Linked DNA regions of Daphnia pulex. The protein of the gene in region 1 interacts with the protein of each later gene in a pairwise test. Links are inferred from orthologs where the notes say so. Each region holds a gene or a part of one and is shown on either strand. Other genes may lie near its edges. The genes, in order: RING finger and CHY zinc finger domain-containing protein 1-like and androgen-induced gene 1 protein-like.

The links.
Region 2: the proteins of RING finger and CHY zinc finger domain-containing protein 1-like (region 1) and androgen-induced gene 1 protein-like interact in binary tests that used the Homo sapiens proteins (3 or more experiments, as listed by UniProt). The link is inferred for Daphnia pulex from reciprocal best matches to the Homo sapiens genes RCHY1 and AIG1.

The regions. Positions count from the first base shown.
Region 1 is NC_060018.1:4,447,577-4,451,507, forward strand, and holds RING finger and CHY zinc finger domain-containing protein 1-like, read left to right. Parts: upstream 1-1,112; 5' UTR 1,113-1,214; coding exon 1,215-1,274; intron 1,275-1,481; coding exon 1,482-1,643; intron 1,644-1,711; coding exon 1,712-1,778; intron 1,779-1,850; coding exon 1,851-1,939; intron 1,940-2,024; coding exon 2,025-2,207; intron 2,208-2,267; coding exon 2,268-2,363; intron 2,364-2,427; coding exon 2,428-2,527; intron 2,528-2,595; coding exon 2,596-2,627; 3' UTR 2,628-3,218; downstream 3,219-3,931. Other genes in the region: transcription factor TFIIIB component B'' homolog, read right to left, coding at 3,339-3,931. UniProt on the Homo sapiens protein: E3 ubiquitin-protein ligase that mediates ubiquitination of target proteins, including p53/TP53, TP73, HDAC1 and CDKN1B. Mediates ubiquitination and degradation of p53/TP53; preferentially acts on tetrameric p53/TP53.
Region 2 is NC_060019.1:10,201,659-10,204,908, forward strand, and holds androgen-induced gene 1 protein-like, read left to right. Parts: upstream 1-1,340; 5' UTR 1,341-1,528; coding exon 1,529-1,687; intron 1,688-1,763; coding exon 1,764-1,901; intron 1,902-1,969; coding exon 1,970-2,051; intron 2,052-2,111; coding exon 2,112-2,247; intron 2,248-2,314; coding exon 2,315-2,466; intron 2,467-2,533; coding exon 2,534-2,637; 3' UTR 2,638-2,746; downstream 2,747-3,250. Other genes in the region: microtubule-associated protein futsch-like, read right to left, coding at 264-468, 523-682, 738-829, 898-957; dentin matrix acidic phosphoprotein 1-like, read left to right, coding at 49-162. UniProt on the Homo sapiens protein: Hydrolyzes bioactive fatty-acid esters of hydroxy-fatty acids (FAHFAs), but not other major classes of lipids. Show a preference for FAHFAs with branching distal from the carboxylate head group of the lipids.

The DNA.
Region 1 (3,931 bases):
GTATAAATTGATCGATAATGACGCTGCGCTCCTCATCTGATAACCTACAGCCAACGGTCTGTAACACGTGGGTCACTTATCTTTCTCGTCGAATAAAAAAACGCACATGAATTGAAATTGAAGGCCTTCTAAACAAATTTACCCAACAAAATCTTAAAAATTTGCAATGCTACTATAATCTCCATGCGAGAGAAGGAAAAGGGGATGACAAGGTCGACATTAAAAAAAGTTTTCGTGAATAAGTAAAAAATCTTCAATTGTCGCAGCTATTTATGTGCAACAGGTCACATTGGCTTACAATCTTTCGTACATTTCATAGAAAATTAAATTACCAGAGTATGCACAACCTCGCAAAAAAAGTCGTTTAAGTGTTTTTTCCTACCTTCGTAATGGTCACACGTGGGATTTGATGTTATCATGTTGAGGGTCGGCGGTTTGGTCGATTATGGTGTTTTGTCCCCAATTGTTCGGCAATGTTCTTTTCAACTGCTTACGAGATCGATGATTCACAATTCACAATCACAGGAAATGATTATGGCAATAATTATTCAGTCAGAGTTCACAGTCGCGCTATACACACTTTCAAATTCTACTGCCAAATTGTTGAGCATCCGACCTCGTGGGCCGCACGAGAACAACTAAGTTTTTCAAGGACCTTGCTGCCCTTTCAATAGGTAGGGTCATTTGCATATTTTTCTCAATTTGAACGTAAAAAAAAATTTCTTCGATTTTCTCCTTTCCTCCTTTTCTCCTACCTTACCCCGGTCCCCGGCCTTAAGTCCATTAATATTTCAAAACATGCACTCCGATAGACTGTATAAAACAGTATGGCAACATTCGAGTGTTTTGATTTTGAAGAACCGCTTTTAGAAAGGACAAGGAAGGGAGCTAGCGACATCTCGTCACAACAAATTTAAGTTCGTGATTAACCAATTAAAGATTAGAGATGAGAAAATTGGATGAAAATTAACTTGCTGGTTACTCTGGATTCCATTGGGAAATTAGTTTTTAAATAAATTGCTGCACAAACAAGACAAACGTGGGAAGTTAGGAATTTTCGGAAAGAAGTCGACCCAACATAGTTCATGTTCATGCCGCTAGGCTAAGCCCAAACCTACACGCTGTACACTAACTGGCCGAAACTCGTGTTTTCTTTTACACTGTGTACACACACTGCCAGATACTGACTCGTTGGAATAGGTGGAGGAGATAAAATGGCTGAGGAGAATGTCGAATACGGTTGCGAACATTATAAACGAAAATGCAAATTAGTGGTAAGTAGTTCGACACTTTGTTCTTAACCAAGTAATGTTGTAACTCAAGTTGGTCGGGAAATAACTGTGGGCACAATGTCTGAAAAATGACCATGATATCTCCTCGTGAAGATAATGCGGTTTTATAGTAATCCTGTTTAAAGTTGTATTGAGAAGTTAAATACTTAATTATTTATTATTTTACTAAACAATAATTTTGTTTTGTAGACACCATGCTGTGACAAAGTTTATACTTGCCGTTTTTGTCATGATGAGAAGGAGGAACACACCCTTAACCGAAAAAATGTGGATGAAATTATGTGTTCATTGTGTGAAACAAAACAACCAGTTCAACAAAACTGTTCCAATTGTGGTATCCTCTTTGGACAGGTAAAGTATCAGACTTTTTTCTTTTCTTTTTTTTTTCAAAATAAAGAAACCTTGATTTTGTTTTGCAGTATTTTTGTGGAAAGTGCAAGTTGATTGATGATGAAGATAAAAAGCAGTATCACTGTGAAGGATGTGGTAATTATTATTACATTTTAAAACCAATTATATTTAATCTTTGGTGACAACTCCTATATCTTACTTTTTCAGGAATATGTAGAGTCGGAGGAAGGGACAAGTTTTTCCACTGCCAAACATGTGATATGTGCTTACCAAAAAAACTTGAAAATCAGCATAGAGTAAGCATTTTTGTGGGATTCTAATTTATACATAAATTATTTTGGTTTTTAGTTCATTCAATTAGTTATTTTTGCTCTGTTACAGTGCGTTGAAAAGATGAGCCGAACAAATTGCCCAATTTGTTTGGAGGATATTCATACATCAAGAATTCCTTCACACATCCCATCATGTGGTCATCTGATTCACCGAACATGTTTCAATTCATTTATTCATCGTGGTCACTATGCCTGCCCAGTTTGTCAACGTTCAATGATGCCGATGGAATCGGTACTAAAATTTAAATTTATAAAACGAATTATAACGTTACCAATTGTGTTTCCATTCTAGTACTGGCGCATTTTAGACGATGAAATTGCCTCAACCCCAATGCCAGTGGAATATCAAAATTTTTTTGTCACGATTTTATGTAACGACTGCCATCAGGTTAGTCATTTCTCGGCACTAAAGAGTTTTTAAAATGTTATTATAATTAACAATTTTTTTGCAGTTTTCTGAAGTTCCAATGCATCCCCTTGGAGCGAAGTGCCAAAATGCACCATGTGGATCGTACAATACGTGCAGAAGCGGTGGTCCTGTTAATAGACCTGGTAATTATAATTTTATTAATCTAGAGGAACTGCGTACCACAAATCAACTTTTTCTCTTTTTTTTTAAGCAGTCAGAGAACAATCTCCTAACTCGGAATAAATGGCCATGATTATCAAGGGAATAGGATGTTGTTTGTCATTTACTTGGACGGCGGTTTTATTCTGTTGACATGCAATAATTTTATTGGCCATCTACTAAATGGTCGAGTTTGTATTTTAAAGGCTTTTAAATTTTCATCCGTGAATCTTCCACCTTATTCGGCGGTAGGCATCTGGAGCCTGTTCGTGAAATTGGATCGAAAGGTTTTGTGAATTTTTTTCTTATCGTTCAAGTTACTCGTACCCCGTCAGCCATCCTGCTGATGTTTGATACCTGTTTTGTTGCCCTTACCTCGTTGCAGTGGCTAAATTGCCGTCATATTGTAATGCACCGTAGTGAGTAAAAAAAAACATCAGACAAAAACAATGGGTAACATTTAGAAATGACTCCTCGAGTAGTTTGAAAATGGACACTGCCAGAAAAGTTCATATCCGAAATTATGAAGATTCTTCTGTGCAGCTTGTGAGTTTCTTGTAATTTTACATGTCATATTATTACAATTGATTAAGCACTTCTCTTCAATTCTATGTGGAATGTACCTTCTGAACATTTTCAAATAACAATTCTGTATAAATATACGTTGTTACCTTATTCACTGGCCTTAAGCAGTAATTAGATCGTTATTTAATTCTGGATGGCAACAACATACACACGCACACACAAAAAAAAAATTAACAGTGAAGGATTGGGCAAAATGCGTAGGGGATCTTATTAGGAGACCGGTTCAAACGGTTCGGCTATACGGTATACATGTACCAATTGATTATTAGGATCTCCGGGATTGGGTTCTGCCACCAACACTAAACTACCGGGTTCAGCTTGAGCAAACGCGGGATTGGCTTCTGCAAGAGCTGGAGGGACTAGAAAAGATGGAGCCTGGTTAGGAGTTCCAGGAACTTCAACGACGGTTAACCCACCTTGTTCTAAACCAATTTGTCCAAGGGGAGAATTCAGCAAACTGTCGAGTGGAATATTTGAATTTGGAGCAGTAGGGTTAGCATCCTTCGAACAATTTGCTGGTTCCAAAGCATCATTCTCAGTTGGGTTTGCTGGTTGTTCGTCGTCATAATCAAGAGGCTTTACATTCTTTCGTCGCGTTATTTTACCAGATCGGGATCCAATAGCCGTCTTTCGAGCTCTTGTAGACACTCGAGATTCAGTGGCTTTCCCCTTCCGGCCTTTTTTCGCAGGGGGTGCTATCTCTTCTCCAGATTCTTCGTTTGTTGTTTTCTTATCCGACCTGATAGATTCAATTGAAACTACATCCGAATCAGACTCATTCGGATTTGGTTCTTGGATGCTCA
Region 2 (3,250 bases), on another chromosome or scaffold:
AACATAATTAAGTGCGAACTTTAATATTTAAAATGCTTCTTTCAAAAGGTTTTGGAGCTACCGAATTCTGTTTATAACGCTACAACCACTGGATTCATACGAATGAGCGCCAGTACCTTTTCGAGTAAATCCAGCTTTACCAGCAATGATGAAGAAGCTTAATTTTTACTGATTCTACCCTAAACTAGCTTTGTATATGCCTCAATTCAGGCAGTGAGCAATCACCAACTAATAGGAAACAGCAGAAAACAAAAATGTTTTACCTTTCATAACTTTGACTTTGTTTTCCAATTTTTCACACTCTCTGGACACAGAAGCAGTGTGTTTCACTTCCTCTTCATATTTCTCCAGAACTTTAACTTTTGCAACAAGCTGAGATGTGAAGTTTTCTCCTGCTTCTGCTTGAGACTTCCATTTTTGAGCTTCATCGTTCAACTCTTCGAATTTCATTTCATAATCTGCATTAGCCTAAATATAAAATCTGATAAGTTATGAGCCATAAAAGAATTGAAAGGAAAATACCTTTTTTAACAATTCAATGCTACCATTAACTTTTGCATACTCTTGATTACGAGTATTCAAATCCCGATGAAGTTGGTCAATAAGATGAACAAACTCCTCATTCTTTCTTGTTAGGATATCACATTCCACTTTGGAGGACTGGTACTCTCGAATTAATTTACTGAAACAAATTGAAACTTAGTATGTATGTAAAATGAAAGTAAAACACTTCATACTCAGTGCCGATTATTTTCTGTTTTAGAGTCAAGAAACCAGCTAGTTGCTGGGCATTGCTGTTCTCCAACTGTACCGTTCTTTTGTCAATTTCCTATTAGTAATACAAATATGATTATTAAAGACTGGCTTATAACATGGTAGAATGTTCAAGCATCTTACGTTTCGTAAAACGCTGCAGTTTTTGCAGCCGCCCTCCGCTACTTCGTGATCCATCGTCATTTAAAATGGAAAACGTTGTCCCACACTCAGGCAATCAATCAAAGAACCATGAGAGGAAAGAAAATCGGAGTACAATCTATGCATCTACAATGAACTCGTTGATCAATAAATTATTAATTGTCGACAAGAGGCACATATTGCCCTCAAAACTTAAACACAAACACGTGTGTATCTGTATCACGAAGACAGAGACAGACAAACAGAATTCTGAAGCGGGAAACTATGTTACTATGTCCGGCTATGTCTATGTATTCATGCATGGAGATCTGTCTGTCTAGTAGCGCCAAAAATTCGTCTGTTAATTTCGTGCCTAACGCCATCTGTTATCAAAATTGTTCAATAATCAAGCTTTTGATATTTGACAGAATCAACAGCGATCGATTAAATGTTGTTCTGTGTGCCGTCATGGCTGTGTAGGACTCTATCTTATGAAAATGGATAGATAAGGGTTGAGACGGACGTACTATTTTCCAGCCATTCCTGAATCTCTTTATCAAGAAAATTTCACTTGCTATTGCTCTGATTGTCTAAAAATCAAAGACTTCACGAAACAGTGCACATTTTTATCACAATGCAAAACTCAGTTATATTCCTCTTTCACTTGGCTGCTGCCATAAATTTTGCTTATGGTATTTACTATGACCTTGTGGAATTAAAGTTGCCTGAAGACTATTCAAAAATTTCAATTGACTTTGCTGGAAGATGGAAGTATTTAACTTTTTGGAACATGGTAACTTGTTTACACTCTTATTTTTTCTTTTGAAGTTGGATTGTAATGTTACCAGTTCTTATCTTTCTTATTTTAGGTACTTCAACTAGTCTACTTTTCATTTTCTCTCTTAAATGATCTGTTTGGCAGCAACTTTGTCAACAAGAAAGATCGAACTGTTATTCAAAAACTAAGGGATTATGTTTTTGGATCACTTGTCTTCCCCTTAGGAATGGTAGACATCTGATGTATGAATTATATAAAGGGCAAAACCTTAATTTACCTCTTCTTCTTCTTAAACAGTTTGTTGCAAGCACTTTCTGGGCTTTGTGGGCCATTAACCGTGAATTGGTTTTTCCAGTTGCTCTTGATGCATTCTTTCCAGGTACTAATTTCTAAGTTGTGAATGTGGATTTGGAGTGCTGATTGTGGGGAATAAATTTAGGTTGGTTGAACCACATCATGCACACTTCAATTGTTCCTCTGGATTTTATTGAACTGCTATTCATTCCAAAAACATTTCCAAAGAGATCTCATGCAATGTCAGGACTCTCAGTACTCATGCTTGGATATCTTGCTTGGTAATGGATAGAAACTTCACTCAATTTTATGCAGAAATGTGTTTTAATTAACTCACATTCTCTATAGGGTATTTGTCATCGCTTTCAAAACCGATTTTTGGGTTTATCCCGTTTTAGCGGTCCTGCACTGGGGTTATCGTTTGTTGTTTATAGTCGGTCTCATGGTTTTATCGGCGTTTATGTATTTTTCTGGAGAAAAACTCCATTATGCTGTCTGGGGTAAGATCTGCTAATAATAATTCACAAGTTTTTAAGATATTAACCTGAATTGAACGATTGATGACAGGTGAACCAACTTCTAAGACAGTCAAGTCTTCTCAAAAAATCGTTAAAGAGAACAAACTACCAAAAGCCACCAAAGAAGGCAAAAATAAACGCAAACAAAATTAATGCATAATACATTCCGTGAGCTCCAATTGCCACGAATAGACTCGCGGGTCCCGTAGACATAAATGGAAATTAACTCAGACATTTGAAAATAAATTCTTTTTAGGCTCAATGATTATCTCTTCTTTCGTCTCTCAAAACGCTTACAATAAAGACAACGAAGTTATATAAATTTACAAATTGTATTTATATACAATCCAAGTGCTACAGAGCACACTCACTATTGATGAAAGGGTTTGGAGCTAGAGAGAAAGTGTTTTTTGAAGAAAGTTAAGGCAGTCGGAGCGTACACGACCAGATTTCTTGAATGAGAACGAATTACATAGAGATACAGCAGCCAATTTTTGTAATCGGGGTTTTTAAAATGAAACAAGCAACGGGGGGCCAACAATTTTGTTATTTTTTCTCGATTTGTAAAAGAAAAAAATACATCATACATGACAATAATGTAATTTTCGGAGCACTGAACCAGACGCATGATCTTTTTTTTCTTATACAATTAATGAACGGGGAGTTTAATGTGTGTTAAGCAATGGGGACGGACGCAATCACTTATCAAAACAAGTCCTTTTTTAAAACTATAAATTAGATGGTGAGAACCAATGATTTTTTTTTA